Rattus norvegicus: one gene and its partners. The protein of the gene in region 2 interacts with the protein of the main gene of each other region in a pairwise test. Links are inferred from orthologs where the notes say so. Each region holds a gene or a part of one and is shown on either strand. Other genes may lie near its edges. The genes, in order: Efhc1, Eif4enif1, Eif4e, Eif4e2 and Dtx2.

Region 1 (3,517 bases), on a different chromosome or scaffold from region 2:
ACATTCTCAACTGCTAAGTCTCTACAGCCTATAGCAAACTTTTATATTGCTGTGGTATCTATTGTAATGTCTCCCTTCTTGCTGATGATTCAGAGTTTTCTCTTTTTCCTTAGTCCAGCTACAGGACAGCCAATTTTGTTCATATTTCTTGGAAAAACAAACTATTTTAATGATCCTTTGTATTTTTTCTTTTCATTTGTTTTATTTATTTTTTGCTCTTATTCTCTCTTTTCTCCCTCTCTCCCCCCCCTAACTTACAGATTGTTTTGCTTCTGGTTTTCTAGTTCTCTGGTATGCATCAATTGCTTATTGAGATCAGCGTGAACCAGAGAGCATGCAAAAATGATTGTCCATCTCCCCAGCTCTCCACTCCGGGCAAAGATAGGTTTAGACTCTTAAGACACAGGTCCCAGCTTTCCAATGTTCACCATGGATACTAAGTGGATTTTACTTGAGGCAAATGTTACAGTATCTCATTTGACTTTCTGTTTTTCTGCAGCCTAATGATACTTCTTAAGACCTAACTGTTGACTTTTTGCATAAAGCCTATTTATTGCTTCTAATTACTATATCAAAACCAAGATATAAAGCTGGGCCTGGTGGCACACACCTTCGATCCCAGCACTGGCACAGGAGTGCTGTCTATGCAGTAGGCTCCATGTTAGGCAATGTTACTTAGTAGGATGCTAAGTAACTTACTTGGCTTAGTTAAGAGTCAAAGGTTCCAACGCATACAATGAAATGAAGTTAAGATTAAGTGCTCCGTGGGCCTTGGATGTAGGTCTGATGTGCCAGCCCAGGCAGGAGTGAAAGATCAAGGCCAGGCTGGGGTGCAGAGTGAGGGGAAGGTCATCTTGGAAACTTAGGGAGGCCTTGACTAAAAATAAAAAGAGGAGAGAGGGCTGGGGTGTAGCTGAGTGTCCAAGTGATTCCCTGGCATGGACTCCCAAGTGTCACCGAGACAAACGTGTGACCCCAACACTAGATGGGTTCAGTCTAAGAGCCTTGCTCTATCCATCTTTAAATGAATTATCTGCCGCGTGGTTTTGCTTTTATCCGTGTCAAGTCATCTCTACTAGAGAATGAAGGAGGTATGCCTGGTCTAAAAGGAAAATCACAGAAAAACCATTGTTAAAAAAGGAAGAATGCACCAACGTGTTCATTCATGTTAGTACAAAAGACTAACCCCACTGACGACTGGCTCCCTCGAACTCCCCAAACCTCCCTAATAACAGAGGACACGTCTAATCCAACTTACTTCCGTTATCCACCAAAACTTTGGGCATGCGCTGTCGGTTCATGAGGAGTGGGAAGGGGTCCCTCCCGTTGTTCCGTTCGTGGACCTCACGGATCTCCACAGTGTCATCCATGAGGTAGTAATGAATGATGTAGTGGCGACACTCTCCAAACAAGCTATCCGTGTCGTCCCAGATCGCGTAGAATCGAAGGACCTTTGAGGAGTCCAAAGTGGTGACTTAAGATTCTAAAGCACAGTTTTAACTGCTTTGACAAGTGTCTGTCAGACAATGAAGTGCAGTGGTTAAAACACTTTCTGACAGGAAATTAGAAAAAAAAATCAAGGATACACAAATACACAAAAAAATCATGTACCACGTCTTGCCTTACCAGCTGGAAAGAATAACACAAGTCTTCTAAGTTTCTGCCAAGAAAGGAGAGCTTACTTAGGCCCCGAATATTTGTCTGGGAAAGAGAAGCTGAATTAAAAAAAAAAACAGTGGAGTTTCCTATAAAGGATTTATGCATAGTAGCAAAGATACATGACGAATTATGGATATAGAGCTGGCGTGGAAGGAATTCTCATAATCAGCCTGTCAAAACACACCCACTGGTAATAGGACGGACAGAATCTTCTAATTTAAAGCAACAGCAGAAAGCCAGGTGTGGTGGTGCACGCCTGTAATCCGAATGCATGGGATGCCGAGGCAGGAAGACCGTGAGTTCAAATCAAGCCTGGGATACATTGCTAACTTGAGGCCAGTCTGGGCTATTTAGTGAAACTTTGTCTCAAAAAAGAAATAAGCAAATTAGTCACTTAATTAATTAATAAAGATTAGGGTGTGGTATACGCCTTTAATTCTAGCATTCTCAACACAGTCAACTAACAAGCCAACTAAACAACAACAAACAAACAAACAAACAAACAAAAAACAAAAACCAGCAGCAAAATCCACAATACTAAGTCCATGCTAACACTGGGTAGAACTTTCTGAAATAAAAAAATTAAGCTTTCAGGAAGTTACGCCAATAACTTCAGAGTAATCACTGTCGTTAATTCTCTTCCCTTTATGGGTGAAAGAAGATTCAGATGTGCCTCTCTGCTGAATTGGGGGCTAGAAAGCTGGGCCAGAGTCAGAAAGGGCTCAGAGCCTTCTGAATTCTAGCTGACACTAATGAAATATTCAGCAGGGATACATGCGAGGTGGGATTCCCGAAGCATCCACGAGAATATTTTAATTAACTATTTTATTTTAATAACTATGTAGTGTCGGAATAAATATATAACAGCTTTCAACTTTCCCCCAGATTCATGTAAGCCTTCCCAGAAGCTTCTGTGAGATTAACTCACCAGGCAGTACTGTGCAAACTCATTTCTATGTCAGCTTGTCATAAGCTAGAGTCATCAGAGAGCTCTGGGAGAGCCTCAGTGGAGAAAATGTCTCCATGAGATCAGGCTGTAGGCAAGCCTGTTAGGTATTTCTTAATTAGTGATTCATTGGGGGAGGGGCCAGCCCATTGTGGGTGGTACCACTCCTGGGCTGGTGGTCCTGGGTTCTATAAGAAAGCAGGCTGAGCAAGCCATGAAGAGCAAGCCAGTAAGCAGCACCCCTCCATGGCCTCTGCATCAGTTCCAGCCCCTGGGTTCCAGCCTTGCTTGAGTTCCTGTCCTGACTTCCTCCAGTGATGAACTATGATATGGAAGAGAAGGAAAATAGACCCCGTCTTCCTCAAGCTGCTTTTGGCCCTGATGTTTCATCAGGACAAGAGCAACCCTGACTAAGACAGAGAAACGGAAGTGGGGAATTTGAAATGGAAAGAGAAGTAGATGCGTGTGGCTCAGGAATTGCTTTACCATGAGAACACATGGATGGATTTACAAGATGTCAACGGATGCCTTTATATCTCTAATAATAAAGCTGAGGGCCTGCCAGATGGCCCACTAGGTAATGGAGCTTGCTACCAAGCCTGACAACCTGAGTTTCATGCCCAGGACCCACAGGACAGAATGAGAGGACCACTGCCCAGAAGTTGTCCTTTGACTCCAGTAGGAATGGCATACACTTGCACATCCAAAAATTAATAAAATGTAATAAAATGTTTAATACATTTAAAAAGTAGAGATATAGGCATAGTTTTAGCCCTATATGGAACCACTGTGTGACAATGGTTAAATTATATGCAGGCTATCAAAGCAGTTTTCCCATAAACACATGTCCACATTCAATCAGGAGTGATCCTACTCGATTAGGTGACTTACTTGTTTGTCAAAGGTGAGAAA
Region 2 (3,517 bases):
CTCATGGTTCTCTTTGACCCCAACCCAGTAAACCTCAACCCCACTTATATCTCTCTTCCCAGCTATTAGCTGTTGACATCTTTATTTACCAACCAGAAATGATTTGGGAGCACAGTCTACATCTTTGGGACAACCAGGTCCTGGGAGGCCGGTATTTAGCATTACAATAGATAACAAAAGGCCTGTATTTAGCATTACAATAGATAATCAAAGACCAGACTTCAAAAAATGAAAGTGAGACTCTGTATGTGCCCAAGGTGATGAGAGATACAGGGTCTCTGACTCTAGAGTTATGGGCAGTTGTGAGCTGTCTGGTGCGGCTGCTGGGAATTGAAGTCAGATCCTCTGTAAGACAATGTGGACTCTTCATCACTGAGTCATTTCTTCCCACAGGTGTCACTCTCCCCCTCTATTATCCCCTTTTTGTTTTTGAGACTAGGTCTGTTTAGTCCTTGCTGTCCTGGAGCTCACTATGCCTCCTTGAGTGCTCACCGTCTCCTTCGAAGTGTGTGATTTCAGCCTTATTCCTAACAAATTCATTTTAAGTGTTCCGTCTGTCTATTTCAGTGTCAGCCTTTTGGACAGCCTCACTACAGTGACGAAATAGTTGTCATTGGTAGCCAATGAGAATTCTTCCTCAACACCCTTTGCTTGGTGTAATAAGAACTTTCTCAACTTCTCAGCACATTCAGGGGTTGTACTTTCAGTGGAAGAGGTAGAAGCCGGGCTGAAGGGCTTGAAGGTGGACCAGCAAATAAAGAATTCAACTCCCTTCATGGCAGAACATTTAGAGGAGACCCTGAGTGCTGTGACTAGCAATCGGCAGCTCAAGAAAGATGGAGATATGACTGCATTCAACAAACTAGTGAACACCATGAAGGCAAGTGGGACTTTGCCTACCCAGCCCAAAGTCAGTGTAAGTATTCGGTACAACCTCGCCCAGCCTCTCCCACTGCAGTAATAAATAGGTTTGATGCAGGTATCCGAGTAGTTTGCAAATTTCTTTCTTTTTTTTTTAAAGTTTTATTTATTTTATGTAGATGAGTACACTGTAGCTGTCCTCAGACACACCAGAAGAGGGCATCGGATCCCATTACAGATGGTTGTGAGCCACCGTGTGGTTGCTGGGAATTGAACTCAGGACCTCTGGGAGAGCAGTCAGTGCCCTTGACCCCTCAGCCATCTCTCCAGCCCTGCATTTTCTTTAGAAGTTGTTTGGTCTTTGTTTGTCCCTTAATTATGGATATTGATTTGTTATTAGAAGAGGCATATCTGATGGTGTGTGTGTTTGGGACAGTAGTGTGGCCAACTAATTCAGTCTGCGTCAGTTAATGCAGTGCCTCTATGAAGTCTTTCCTAAGAAGGGAAGGACTGAGTTGTAGATTTTAGCCCTGTTTGGAGATACACATATCTAATATGTGGGGTTATCTATGCAAAAAGGAGAGGAAAAAAAGAAATTGATCCCTTGTGCTGAACTGGGCATAGTGACGTGTGCTTCTAACCCTAGTGTCTGTGAGGGCAGGAGCTCAGGGCCAGGTAGGACCACCTGATACCCATTTGTTTTATTTTGTTTTCGTTTTTTTTTTTTTCCCCCTAAGATAGTTTCTCTGTGTAGCCCTAGGTGTCCTAGAACTCACTCTGTAAACCAGGCTGGGGACAAACTCAAAGATCTCCCAGCTTCTACCTTCCAAGTGTTGAGATTAATGATGAACCATCACTGCCTAACTGTAGATAATGTTATAATAAAATTTTACAAGATTTATTTAATTATATTTGTATGAGCATTTAGTTTGTGTGTGTGTCTGTGCACTACTTGCATGCCTGGTGCACACAGGCCAGAAAAGGGCATCAGGCCCCCCTATGACTGGTGTTTCAGATGGTTCCGAGCCTCCATGTGGGTGAAGGAATATTTGTTCACTGGAAGAGCAGCCTGTGTGCTAACCACTGAGCAGCCTCACCAGCTCCCTACAGTAAAGTCTTTATTGTCACACTTTGTATATACTCAAATATCTAGATTGCCTGTTCTCTTGATTAGACTGATTAATTAAATTTAACTAAATCAATTAAAATACCAAAGGTGGAGCTGAGCATGGTGGTAAAGACTGATAGTTCCATCACTACTTGGAAACTGGAGGCAGAATAATTCCAAATTCAAAGGATAGCCTGATCTAGAAAGGTGCACACACACTGTCTGTCTGTTTCCCCCCCTTCTTCCCCCTCCCCCCCCACTCTGTATCTCTCTCAGTATATATTAAAGATGTGAGGGTTTTTTGTTTGTTTTATTTTAATTTAGTTTAGTTTGTTAAGACAGGTTTCTCTATGTTGCCTTGGCTGTCCTGAAACTCATGCTGTAGACTAGGCTGGCCTCTAACTCAGAACTCAGAGATCTGCCTGCCTCTGCCTCCTGAGTGTTCAGATTAGAGGTCTGTCCAGCACACCTGGCCATGGTAGTGTTTTTTACAAGACAATTATACTGTTAATTTACTAATAGTAAGAAGCTGCAATTGGTTTTGTTTGTATTTCAAGTTGCAGTTTGTTTTATATTGTAGATTGCTCCCCTAGCTTTAATTACTGAGTCGGCTCTCCAGCCATAATGCAGGTTTATAACACGCACTGATTTATAACATGCACTGATTTCCATCATAATGGTGTTTAGAGTGAGTTTCAGCTCAGTGTTAATGTGGCCCTATCACTTGTATACAGAATGATTGGGAAGCAAGACAGATCTGAAGGATGAAACCTAGACTCAGTTGCTCTGCTATATCAAGTCTGTCAAATTGAATTTGCCTCTTTTCCTCCTCAACCCTTTTTGGCTAGGAACTACAAAACGTGTGAACAGCAATAAATGTTTGATTCACTATGTCCTTTTACAAAGTATTTTGAGTGCATGTATGTATTCTTATGGGCATGTGTGCCACAACGTGTGTAGAGGTCAGAGGACAACTTGAGAGAGTCGTTTTCTCTTTGCACACTAAACCGTGGAGTTGATGTCGGATTGTTGGACTTGACAACAGGCACTTTACCTGATGATTGTCTCTCCAGCCCTGGGGTTTGTCACTGATTAGTTTTCATTCAAATCCTGCCATAGGGTTGCTTTCTCCTTTCAGCGTGAGTCTCCAGAGGTGGAGGCAAAAGAGCTGGGAGCAGTGGGGGAGGAAGCAGGAGAAGGGCAAGTTTGAGACCAGCTTGTGCTACATAGACAGACTCTCTGTCTTGAAGGAAAAAAGGGAGAGAGAAGGGAGTTCAGTATTTCATATCTCAACCTTTGATTGGTTTTGCACAATATTGACCTTCAGCTGTGAACACACTTGGTTTGATATTAGAGTGTCGTGCTGTTGTGCACATGTAGCTTCAGGTATGGTGGTGAAGTGAGCTTCTGACCCCTGATAATAAGCGGCTAGGTAAATATTTACACAGATTCAGAATTGTATCTGTGCTGGCTTGGTTTGCATTTGAGCTCCTGCTCTGTCTACTGCTGGGTACTAGTTCTCATCTGACTCTGTGCATCTGATAAAGT
Region 3 (3,517 bases), on a different chromosome or scaffold from region 2:
ACAAAGTGTTAAAGTACAGCATAAAGATACAAAAGCAGACAACTAATTCTAGTTAGGAATGTAATTATGGTGTTACATTTTTATAGTCCACAATTATGTTTAGGGATCACACAGACATAGATCACTGATTTGAATGAAATGCATAAATTTGTAGCAAAGCTTTGTAGTTACAAAAAACAAAAAAATTACCAAAGAATGCACAAATGTAATGTTTATTCCACCTTTCTGTCATAGTCCTGGATCCTTCACCAATGTTACATGAGGAAAAAAACAAAAGCAAAACAAATGAAAAACTGAAATCAGAATCACTAATGTTATCAAGGAGGGAAGCAAATAAATTAACATCTAGCAGCCATCAGCAAGAGGACAGCAAGGACAATGCTGTGACAGAAAACAGAAGGTTGCTAGAAAGCTGTACTTAGACTCTCACACCAGCAAATCCGCTCCTGCATGGAGTGGAACAAAACCAGATCTTTTCCTGCTAAGGTGACAGAAATGCACGTTCTTTTTCGAATACTGTGGAAAGGCAAGTGTGTGTCGTGGTAACTCTACCCGGCTGTTACAGAGCGGGCCAGGAACACATCTGTGGGTTCTGGGGTGACGTATACTGTAATTCTTTGATTGGGATGGTGGACACACTAGCAAAAATTGGGGTGGGGGAGGAGAATGAACACAGAAGTACAAGACAAAGGCGAATGAGACTTCTCTTATATCTTAGCAACACTTGGATGGAGTCAGCTTCAGTGCAGTCCACTCTGCTTTGATGAGGCTTTGGTTCAGCTCCCAATCTCGATTGCGTGACGCAGTCTCCTGTGAGGATACTCAGAAGGTGTCTTCTTAAACAACAAACCTATTTTTAGTGGTGGAGCCGCTCTTTGTAGCTGTGTCTGCGTGGGACTGATAACCAATCACTATCTTCGGAGGAAGTCCTAACCTTTCCTTGTATACCCTCCTACAAGACACAGGAGACAAGAAACATTAGTATTTCTTTAAAAAAGAAAAAGGATTTAAATGCATTTTATAAAGCTGTAGTGTATTAGTCGATGCATTAAAAATGCAAATCAAAATGTGTTCATTTTCTTTCAGTATAACTAGCAAAATTAAAAATTAGTCTTTACTTTCACAACTATACTTTAATCATGTTACAGACAACTGGAATCCCACCAGGTTTGTCTTTATTATTACTACTAATAAAAAGGTACGATTATACCAAACAGAAACGGGCAAATCAGAATCAGCTCACGGGCTCACAGCAATTGCTTGGTTAACATAGCAAGATCCTATCTCAAAAAGTAAAATAAAAATTCTATTTACATATGAATTCTATTTTGCCTTATGTATCAACTTCACAAACCAATTTTCAAATTAGTTGTGACTACTTTAAAAATAAAATGTGATGTGTACTAAACAGGGCTTAGGTATATGACTATCAACTACAATTCAGAGGGTCTAAAGCTCATCTGCAGTATTAGAGAAATCTCTCCTTAAAAGGCCAAAAGGGGGCTGGGCATTGTGGTGCGCGCCTTTAATCACAGCACTTGGGAAGCAGAGGCAGGCACATCTCTGGTTTACAGCGTGAGTTCTGACAGAGCCAGGGCTAGGTACACAGAGACCCTGCTTCAAGTGGGTGGGTGGGTGGAGGGATGTCGAGGTGTTAACAGTCTAATCTTCAGGGAATGAAACACATCTAAAGGTTGAGAAGAAACAACAAAAGCTATAAAAATGAAAGCTGTGTGGCTAGATTGTAAGTGGGTATAAAATAAGACCGACAAAAACCTGAGAAAAGAGCAGAGAACTTAATTTTTAATCTTAGAAAGAAATAATACAGAACATTCAAAAAACAAACAGTAAAACTAAAACAAAAGTGCCATTTCCACAGTTTTACCCCTGGCAGAATCATACTTCTTCCAAAGTTTTTTTGTTTTTGTTTTTTTTTTAAGGCAATTAGTATGAAATGACATTGTAACAGTTTTTTTAAAAATACTCTTTACTATTAAAAAATGTACGTGTGTGTGTGTGTGTGTGTGTGTGTGTGTGTGTGTGTGTGTGTGTGCGCGTGCGTGCGTGTGCGCGCACACAGCAACAAGAAGTTAAACTGTGTCAGCTGGAAGCATTGAAAAACTTTTTCCTTGGAAAACTGAAGTTAAGATGTATACAGATCATCAACAACTTAGAAAGCACAAGCCTCTTCTAGGTAGTTATAAAACTTCAAAACATCTAATACTGACACAAAAAGTTCTGTAGCAATTTCTGTTTTTTGAAGAAATACAACACTGCTAACAGGTCAATGTTAATACTAAAAGATGAAAAATGACAAGTCAACAATGACTCATTGCAAATTCCACTTAGAATCAAACTTCATTTTGCTTTTTACTAATTTTCATGTAATCAAAGAGACTTCTAGCAAAACTTATGTGTATGAATTATAAAAAATAAAATTTTCAACAGAGAAACTTATAAACACATGGGCTCTAAGTATGGGAGGAAGCTGTCCTAGACAGTGCATGCACCACCAGTGCAAAGCCATGTTACAGCAATAGAAAAGACAAACACATTCAACGTTAACAGGATCCAAACTTGTGTCCAGGAAAACATTTTTTTTTTTTTTGGTTCTTTTTTTTTTTTCGGAGCTGGGGACCGAACCCAGGGCCTTGCGCTTCCTAGGTAAGCGCTCTACCACTGAGCTAAATCCCCAGCCCCCAGGAAAACATTTACGAAGAAAATAAAAAGTTTATAAATCCAACTGTCTAAAGCTATGTATGTAAAGGACGTCTACATTTAGTTAATAAATAGTCAAGGAAGCAAGGAGGGGAGCACAACGCACCCTATGTGTGTGACTGCATCTCTGTTTTCACATTCAGTCGTCCATATTGCTATCTTATCACCTTTAGCTCTAACATTGACAACAGCTCCACACACGTCATCACTGTAGTCATCAAAAGATTCTCCAATAAGGCACAGCAGCTAAAAATAAAACAAAAATAGCAAATTACATTGACTATATAGATCATCAACAACTAAGAAGAAAGCGCAGGACTCTTAGGGATAGTTATAAAACTAAACTAATTCTAATCAACAACTGACATCTGACATTGGTCAGGAAGAGGCAGCATTGGCAAGTCTGAAGCTATCCTGATCTAGACACAAGAAAGCAAATGAGTAAGATCTGACTGCGTTTTGTTGTGAAGACAGGACACACATGTTGTGGCAAACCAATGGAGGTAAGAGAGCAGTGGGTTCTGGGAATTAAACTCAGGTAGTCAGACTTGGAAACAAGCACCCTTACCTAAAGAATCACAGAGCAGTTTACAAAATGACTTTTTTTTTTTTTTTAAATATTTCATTTATTTAGTATATATGAGTACATTGTCGCTGTCTTCAGATGGTTGTGAGCCACCATGTGGTTGCTGGGAATTGAACTCAGGACCTCTGGAAGAGCAGTCGGTGCTCTTAACCACTGAGCCATCTCTCCAGCCCTACAAAATGACTTTTAAAAAAATAAATAAAAAACAACAAA
Region 4 (3,274 bases), on a different chromosome or scaffold from region 2:
GAAAATGTGGAAAGTCCTCTCTTCCTTCTGGCTCAGTGAGACATGTTCCTCCAGTGCCTTGGCATCTTCTTCCTGCTTTACATATTAAACTTGTCCCTCAAGACCAGCCTGAGTGTTTCCTCTGCGGTTCCCACTGTATGCTCTCTCACCACACCATGTGCAGATACAGTAGTACTCATTAGGCTGGGTGGCTGTAATTAATTCGTTGTGCGTCTCTCCTCAGCTCCATTGTGCCTGTGTTAAGATCTGAGCTTCTGTCTATGTTCTTGGTACTTAGTGATGGTCAGATTTTAGCAAAAATTGATTATGGCCTGTGGTTGAAATAGTTTCACTGTGGTTCCCGAAATAGTTCAGATAAAGGTGGATACTTTTTAAAAGATCTGTTTAGTCCTTTAAAATTATTTAAATCAATGATTTTTTTTTCTTTTTTTGTTCCCTATTTCTTCTTTTCTTAACATTGAAATAATGTCAGATTGGAAAAGTGGCTAGACTTGACTGTTCTTCAGAAGTATTCTTTGGTATTCGCAGATGACATTGTGGAGCAGTAGTTTACCCGAGACGCTTTCTGTCTTTCTATAGGATGATGCAAATAAAAATGGGGGCAAGTGGATCATTCGACTCCGGAAGGGCTTAGCTTCCCGCTGCTGGGAGAATCTCATCCTGGCCATGCTCGGGGAACAGTTCATGGTTGGGGAGGAGATCTGCGGGGCTGTGGTCTCTGTCCGCTTCCAGGTAAGCCAGCCCAGGCCATTGTTCTTTCTGAGTCGCCGCCATTCTCATTGCTATTTCTGTTGGTTTGGTAATTCATTCTGTTCCTCCCTTAGGAGGACATTATTTCTATATGGAATAAGACTGCCAGCGACCAAGCAACCACAGCCCGAATCCGGGACACTCTTCGGCGCGTGCTTAACCTACCTCCCAACACCATTATGGAATACAAAACTCACACCGACAGCATCAAGTACGTGTTGGGGGGTTTGGGGGGGACAGGTCCCTGAGCTTAGCAGAGTTAACTCCATAGTTGGTCCCAGACAAATGTGGTCACATGACACTGACTTGTGATGCAGGGACATATCAGCCCCCTCCAGGGCTTTGGCCACTTGCTGAAGTTCTTATTAGTGAGGCTCCGAGGACCTACTGTGAGGTGCTGTGAAGCAAAGGGCCCTTCTTCAAAACCCAGTTTTCCTGCCTGGGCTGGCTTCTTTTCTACAGGCTATCTTGTCTTTCTTATGCTAACCACTATTTTAAAATGAAAGACAAAGCTCTTTCAGAAGTTTCTCTGTCTGTTTTTAAAAACAATTATTGAACAATAAAATCCTCTTCCCTGCCCACCCTGACCCCACCTTTGCATGTCTGTTTAACCTGTTAGCCTAGTCTGTTCTCTTTGTCTTGGGAGATTGACTTCTTACCAGGAGTGGTGACTCTATTTTGTATGTATAGAACTGGAGTCTAGATACAGTACAGTAGGTTGTGAGAGAGGAGAAGGGAAGGTAGAGCCACAGGAGAAAGAAGCTTTGTATCCCACTGAAGACAGTGAGTGCTCTCCACATGGAGAATCACTGGTGAGGGCTTCTCCTTCAGGGACAGTGACAGAGATGAGCTCAGGTCATTATGAATGGCTTCTAGATTGTCTCAAAGGTGGAAGGAAAACCAGCCACCAGGAGTCAGGTCTTTATGTTCATTGTCTCCTGTGGCCCTGAGCCAGTATGTGCCTTTGGCAAGTCTCTGCAACTGTATCAGTTTCTCCAGCTATGAGGTGGGAGTACAGAAATAAATAGTAAGGTTGTGGTTAGGCTGGTCTAATCTTTGTAACTGAAGGTCCTCAGAGCAAGAAAGCTTTTACGGACCAAGTATCATTGCTGTCGTCATTAGTGCAGTGCCATCATCATGCCATTCCTATTCAAGACTAATAGTAAGACAGTAGTTGTATCAGCAGCAGTAGACTATGTGAGACTCTTTCCCACGTGTTCACATATGATGTCGTGGTGGAGTTCACTTATACCAGCTAGGTGCCAGTTTTTGACTGGGAGGACTGCCATAGGCTGGTCCTATATCAGATGGCTCTGACTCACTGGAGCCACCAGCACTCATTTGCCATCTGTGGCCTTGGTTGCTTGTCTCAATAATCCTGTGTCAGCACTGTTTTTCTTAGAGCAGGTCTGTCTTACACTCTGCTGCCAACAGAGATAGTATCTGCCCTCCTGCTAGGTTAGTCCAAGCTCAGAAAGTCTACATCTTTCCCTAGGATTCTTGTTTGCTGGGTTCCCATTTAACCTGGTTAGGAAAGGGAAAGAGTAGTTTCCATTCACTCCCCACTGTTCCCCCTTTCTGATACCTGGAGGCAGTTCATCTTGACTTGTAAAGTCCCATAAACAAATCCTTCCAGGACCTAGGAGCCTCCGGGACTCCTGCCCTGCAGCTGTAGCACCCTCCTCAAGACCCAGATGCAACTTTCCCTTGCTCCCCACTCTCTTTCCTCTCCCAATGAGCTACCTTTTGCACTTCCACTAGAATGCCAGGCAGGCTGGGCCCCCAAAGGCTCCTTTTTCAAAACCTCTGGAAGCCGCGATTGAATGTGCCATGACACTCTCCCTCTCTGGATGGCACCATCATTGAAGCTGGCGTCATCGGAGTCTCTTGTTCTGTTGGCGTGCCACCTGGAAGACCCTTCTGTCCTGGACAAGAGGAACGGAAGAGCATGTTACCTTTGAGAACAGGCTGACAGCAGCAACTACTACAACAGCTGAGATCACAAATAAATGGTGCTAAACCAGCTTGTCTCATGCTCTTGCTCTTTATGGTGCATCAAGATGTGGCCTCTGGATTGACTGTCACCACTATCAAGGGATGGCATACAGACTTCTCCATGCAGGGCCTGGATTCAGGGAACGCAGCTTCATAGCCACAAGCCCATTGTGTATTCATGGTACTTTATTCCAGGACTGTTGTGGTCTGACATTAAATAAGGAGGAGACGTCTAACTCTCAAGACCCAACTGCCTGGTGCTCAAGTGTACTAGTTTCCATCCAGTTAGACTGATGGCTGGCCCAGAGTGGCGGCTGAGTTCAGGGCCAGTTTGAAAGTCTCGTATGGTTGGAAAGGGGTATCCTTGGCTTTTCTTTGCTAACTTCCATTTGCCTTTAGTTCATAGAAATCTCTTGCTTGGAGCTAAAGCCCTGCTTCTGTCTGTCTGTGGCCATACATACATACTTTTTTTGCTTTGTGCTGATGGGGTATTCTCTCTGGTGCCAAAGCTGCTTGGCAACCTCCTCCC
Region 5 (3,987 bases), on a different chromosome or scaffold from region 2:
GCACCAGGAAATGCCAGGTGCCATCCATTCATCAGAAGTAATGAGCAAAGCAGCTCTGTCTTATCAGACTGTCCCTCTGGAGCGTCAGATGGAGACCAATTAGCAGAGGCAGGAAGCAACACAATTCTGCCTTTCCAAGCAAAACAGTAGCAACTCCCCCAGCCCCCTCCCCCGCCCTCCGCCCGCGCGCTCCACAGTGCCGGCGCTGAGGCCAGGTCTCCTTGACTTCTCTGGCTGTGCTCTCCTTTTTGCTGGGTGAGCTGGGAGCAGATTCTGGGGAATGGAACAGGCTCTGTCACGTGAATTTTAAGGACTTCTTTTGCAAATCCAGGGTCTCCTACCTACTTGCCAGATTAAGTGCTCTACCACTGAGCCATGCCACCATAAGACAAGGCTTAACATTTTTAATAGATTACTTTCTTATTTTTAAATTTAAATGTACGTTTCTTAAGACTGTGCTTGTAGGGGTTGGGGATTTAGCTCAGTGGTAGAGCGCTTGCCTAGCAAGCGCAAGGCCCTGGGTTCGGTCCCCAGCTCCGGAAAAAAAAAAAAAAAAAAAAAAAAAAAAGACTGTGCTTGTAAGCTCAGCAGTTAGGAAACAGAGGCAGGAGATTCAGGAGTTTAAGGCTAGCCTTGGCTACATAGCAAATTCAGAGGGGGTATATGAGATCCTGAACCCCCTCCACCCCCAAAAGGTGAATCTTACAGCTGGGGATTCATTAGTACTAGAACACTTGTCTGAAGTGCTTGCAATAACTTTGGTCGTCTAAAGTGCTTGCATTAACTTTGATCCTCAACACCACAAAAAGAAAAATCAGGGGTTGGCAATATGGCTTAGAGAGTAAAGGCATTTGCTGACAAGCCTGACACCTTGAGTTCGATCCGTGGAACCCACGTGAAGGTGGACGCGGAGAAGGGGCTCCTAAAGTTGTTCCTTGACCTCTATAAGTACACCCACCTCCAGAATATACACACATAATAATAAAAAGAGATATAAAAATTATTAAAAATCAAATGCATCAGTAATTAATGAAGGAGTAAATCAGTAGGAGAAAGAGAAGGAAGGCTGGGTACCTTTACAACAGCTGGTGCGCTTTGGTTCAGCCCACTCAGCTTCACCAGAACTACATTTCCCAGAAGGCACCGCGCGAGGGGGACATGCGCAACGCGGCGCTTGGAGGCTGCGACGCCGAGTTTCACTCCGGCTGCCTCCTGCTCGGAGTCGGAGATATACTCGGGGGTTCTTCCCAGGCCGAGCCGGAGCTGAGCCCGGAGGTCGGCGCTCCTCTCAACCTGTTCCTTCTGCTTCCCTCAGACTCGGTGAGCGGGACGGGCGAGCCACCTGCTGGCGCCCAGGCTAGGGTCCTGAAGGTGGGTGGGTGGGTTGAGGAGAGGGGGCTATTGAGCCAAGCTGAGACCGGAAGGGGGCGGTCGTGCGAGGGAGGGAGGGCCGTGCCGGCGGGTTGGGTGAGTCCTGGGGGCGTTGGGAGCCCTGGGCACCGGGTACCAGGGTCCTGGAGGCGGGAAGTCGCAGTTGGGACGCTCTGAGCGTTGGGGACCGGCTGGGTGTGGTGAGAGCCTTATATTTGCAGAGACGGGGGTCGCATCTCTGGCAGTTTGAGTCCTACAGGACCTGGAAGAGCCGTGAGGCTATTGCTACCCTGGTTCCCTGAGGGGACAGTTTTAGTCATCCAGGCGATAGTGATCCACCACTGGCTGAGAGTTGGACTTTGGGGGCGTTTGCCTTTCCATTCTCGGTCTCTGTCAAACTGGGTCCCCGGGGCACTTTGGGGTGTCTCTGTTTTGAAGCTCCGCTTTTCATCCTTTCCCTCAGACAGCCGCAGGGTTGCCCATATTAGCTTTGCCTCCACAGTGGCGTAAATACGAATGTGTACACAGGCAAGACATTTAAGGAACTCCATACCATCTTGGCCCCTTTAAAGTTCTAGAGAGCCGAGCGATGTGTTGCATGCTTGTAATCCCAGCATTTGGGAGACCAGGGCTTGAGGGTAGTTTAAAGCTTGCCTGTGCTGCATAACAAGATACTATATTACACACACACACCCACACTCCCAAAAAGTGTTAGCCAGGTATGGTGATTTATGCCTGTAATTTCAGTACTTGTGAGGCAGAAGCATGAGACTCAGGAGTTCCAATCTAGCCCTAAGCTATATACTGTGGACCCTGCTCAAAAAAAAAAAAAAAAAAAAAAAACCAAAAAACAAAACATTTAGCACAAGGCCCTGGGTTCGGTCCCCAGCTCCGAAAAAAAGAAAAAGAAAAAAAAAAAAAAAAAACAACCCACCAAAAAAAGAAAAAGTAAGAGTTCTGTGATGTAGACTTCCCTCCCAGTAGCCAAGAAAGTGAGGGTTGACGTCAGCTGCTTGGGTATCTAGTCTCTTTGCTTATTTACAGTGTGACTTTGGTCAAATTTTTACCCTCTCTGGGTTGATTTACTTCATGGACCGCCCGTGGGACTTCCTTCTGAGGTCCTCATATGGGCTTTTCTGGGAAAGGGCTTAGTTGAGGGGACTGAGAAAAACTGTCCCTACTTTGTGCTCCCTGCCCAGGCTGTTGTACAATAAGCCTGGTGGTTTCCAGTCGCCTGCCACAGCACACGGGACCCAACATCTGTGCGCTCGTTTTCTCTTGCCGTTTCTTCATTGAGGACTTAATCATCTTTTTGGCAAAGGTACCTCGGAATTGGTGTGGCTGAGTCAGCAAGCCCTCGGATTTTCCCGGTTCTTGTTTGCTGTTCATATCAAGATGGGAGCCCAGACAAGTTATTGCTTCTGACGATCTCCATCAAGAAGGGACAGTTTGGTGCCAGCCCTTCAGTGAAGAGGAGGTGAGAGCCATGGGGAAATCAACCTTGCTGCTTTTGAAAGCTGGTTTCAAAGGAGGTGGGTGTGGGCATGGAAGGGAGATGGCTCAGTCCATACAGTGCTTGTCTGGCAAGCAGGAGGGTCCAGATTCGCTTTCCAGAACCAACGTAGAAAGCCTGGCATGGTGGTTTGTGCTTGCGCTTTTCTGCTAGGGAGGAGACAGGTGAATCCCTGCGGTGTGCTAGGCAGTCAACCAGCCTAGGTTGATGGCACCTGCAGAACTGTAGCCCAGGCTATCCCCTAGCCTCCAGGAACCCCTAGTGCATCTGTGCACACACGCACATTGCTTTTCTACAGACACATACATAACGAAGCAGGCCGCATGGACGGTGGGATTCTGGGGTTCCAGGAGTGAAGTGAGGCCTGGGAGTTGATTGTTGATTGCCAGCTGTTGCAAATAAATTCATTTGGCTCCTTGCCAGCGCTGCTTCTGTCTAACCAGTCTTAGAGGATACATCCTTCCTTAGACATGCCTTATGGGCTGGAAACAGCTTCGGTAAAGTGCTTAGCCAGCATACAAGACCTGGGTTCAAGCCCCAGCACTTCAAAACGTTTATTTTTTATTATTGTGCGGGCCCTGGTGCACGTGTGGAGGTGACAGGGCAGTTTGCAGGAGTCACGTCTCCCTAGCAGGTAAGTTCTGGAGATCTAAGTCAAGTAATCATAATTGGCAGTAAGTACTTTTACCCGCCAAGCCATCTGACTGGTCCTGCCTTTTTTTTTTTTTTTTTTTTTTTAAAGAAATAACGCTATCCCTACTGCACAAATCTGACCACCTGGCTTCTATCCTTGGCTTCCACGGTGGAAAGAGAGACTGGATTCCCGAAAACCATCCCTTCTACACTCCTCCATTTCAAACACAAGCCCACATTCACACAAAAATAATAAATTAAAAAGAAAATAATGCCTAGCAAGGTGATGGATGCTTGTCATCCCACACTCGGGAGGCTTAGGTAGAACTGAAGGTTTGAGGTAAGCCTGGGGTATGTAGCCAGTTCACCCTTGCATGGTGGTATAAGTTGCAATCCCAGCATTCAATAAACTGAGGCAAGAGGATCATGAGTGTGGGGCCATCCTTGGATACGTAGTGAATTCTAACCCA

The links.
Region 1: the proteins of Eif4enif1 (region 2) and Efhc1 interact in binary tests that used the Homo sapiens proteins (3 or more experiments, as listed by UniProt). The two-hybrid records come from large-scale screens. The link is inferred for Rattus norvegicus from reciprocal best matches to the Homo sapiens genes EIF4ENIF1 and EFHC1.
Region 3: the proteins of Eif4enif1 (region 2) and Eif4e interact in binary tests that used the Homo sapiens proteins (3 or more experiments, as listed by UniProt). The link is inferred for Rattus norvegicus from reciprocal best matches to the Homo sapiens genes EIF4ENIF1 and EIF4E.
Region 4: the proteins of Eif4enif1 (region 2) and Eif4e2 interact in binary tests that used the Homo sapiens proteins (3 or more experiments, as listed by UniProt). The two-hybrid records come from large-scale screens. The link is inferred for Rattus norvegicus from reciprocal best matches to the Homo sapiens genes EIF4ENIF1 and EIF4E2.
Region 5: the proteins of Eif4enif1 (region 2) and Dtx2 interact in binary tests that used the Homo sapiens proteins (3 or more experiments, as listed by UniProt). The two-hybrid records come from large-scale screens. The link is inferred for Rattus norvegicus from reciprocal best matches to the Homo sapiens genes EIF4ENIF1 and DTX2.

Annotation. Positions count from the first base shown.
Region 1 is NC_086027.1:30,882,260-30,885,776, reverse strand, and holds part of Efhc1 (EF-hand domain-containing protein 1), read right to left. Parts: coding exon 3,497-3,517; intron 1,452-3,496; coding exon 1,259-1,451; intron 1-1,258. UniProt on the Homo sapiens protein: Microtubule inner protein (MIP) part of the dynein-decorated doublet microtubules (DMTs) in cilia axoneme, which is required for motile cilia beating.
Region 2 is NC_086032.1:82,308,243-82,311,759, forward strand, and holds part of Eif4enif1 (eukaryotic translation initiation factor 4E transporter), read left to right. Parts: intron 1-683; coding exon 684-916; intron 917-3,517. UniProt on the Homo sapiens protein: EIF4E-binding protein that regulates translation and stability of mRNAs in processing bodies (P-bodies). Plays a key role in P-bodies to coordinate the storage of translationally inactive mRNAs in the cytoplasm and prevent their degradation.
Region 3 is NC_086020.1:229,768,246-229,771,762, reverse strand, and holds part of Eif4e (eukaryotic translation initiation factor 4E), read right to left. Parts: intron 2,965-3,517; coding exon 2,825-2,964; intron 953-2,824; coding exon 838-952; 3' UTR 1-837. UniProt on the Homo sapiens protein: Acts in the cytoplasm to initiate and regulate protein synthesis and is required in the nucleus for export of a subset of mRNAs from the nucleus to the cytoplasm which promotes processes such as RNA capping, processing and splicing.
Region 4 is NC_086027.1:95,347,626-95,350,899, forward strand, and holds the end of Eif4e2 (eukaryotic translation initiation factor 4E type 2), read left to right. Parts: intron 1-579; coding exon 580-732; intron 733-824; coding exon 825-961; intron 962-2,511; coding exon 2,512-2,584; 3' UTR 2,585-2,773; downstream 2,774-3,274. UniProt on the Homo sapiens protein: Recognizes and binds the 7-methylguanosine-containing mRNA cap during an early step in the initiation. Acts as a repressor of translation initiation.
Region 5 is NC_086030.1:26,316,697-26,320,683, reverse strand, and holds the start of Dtx2 (probable E3 ubiquitin-protein ligase DTX2), read left to right. Parts: upstream 1-1,176; 5' UTR 1,177-1,320; exon of another isoform or gene 1,321-1,371; intron 1,372-2,692; 5' UTR 2,693-2,848; intron 2,849-3,987. UniProt on the Homo sapiens protein: Regulator of Notch signaling, a signaling pathway involved in cell-cell communications that regulates a broad spectrum of cell-fate determinations.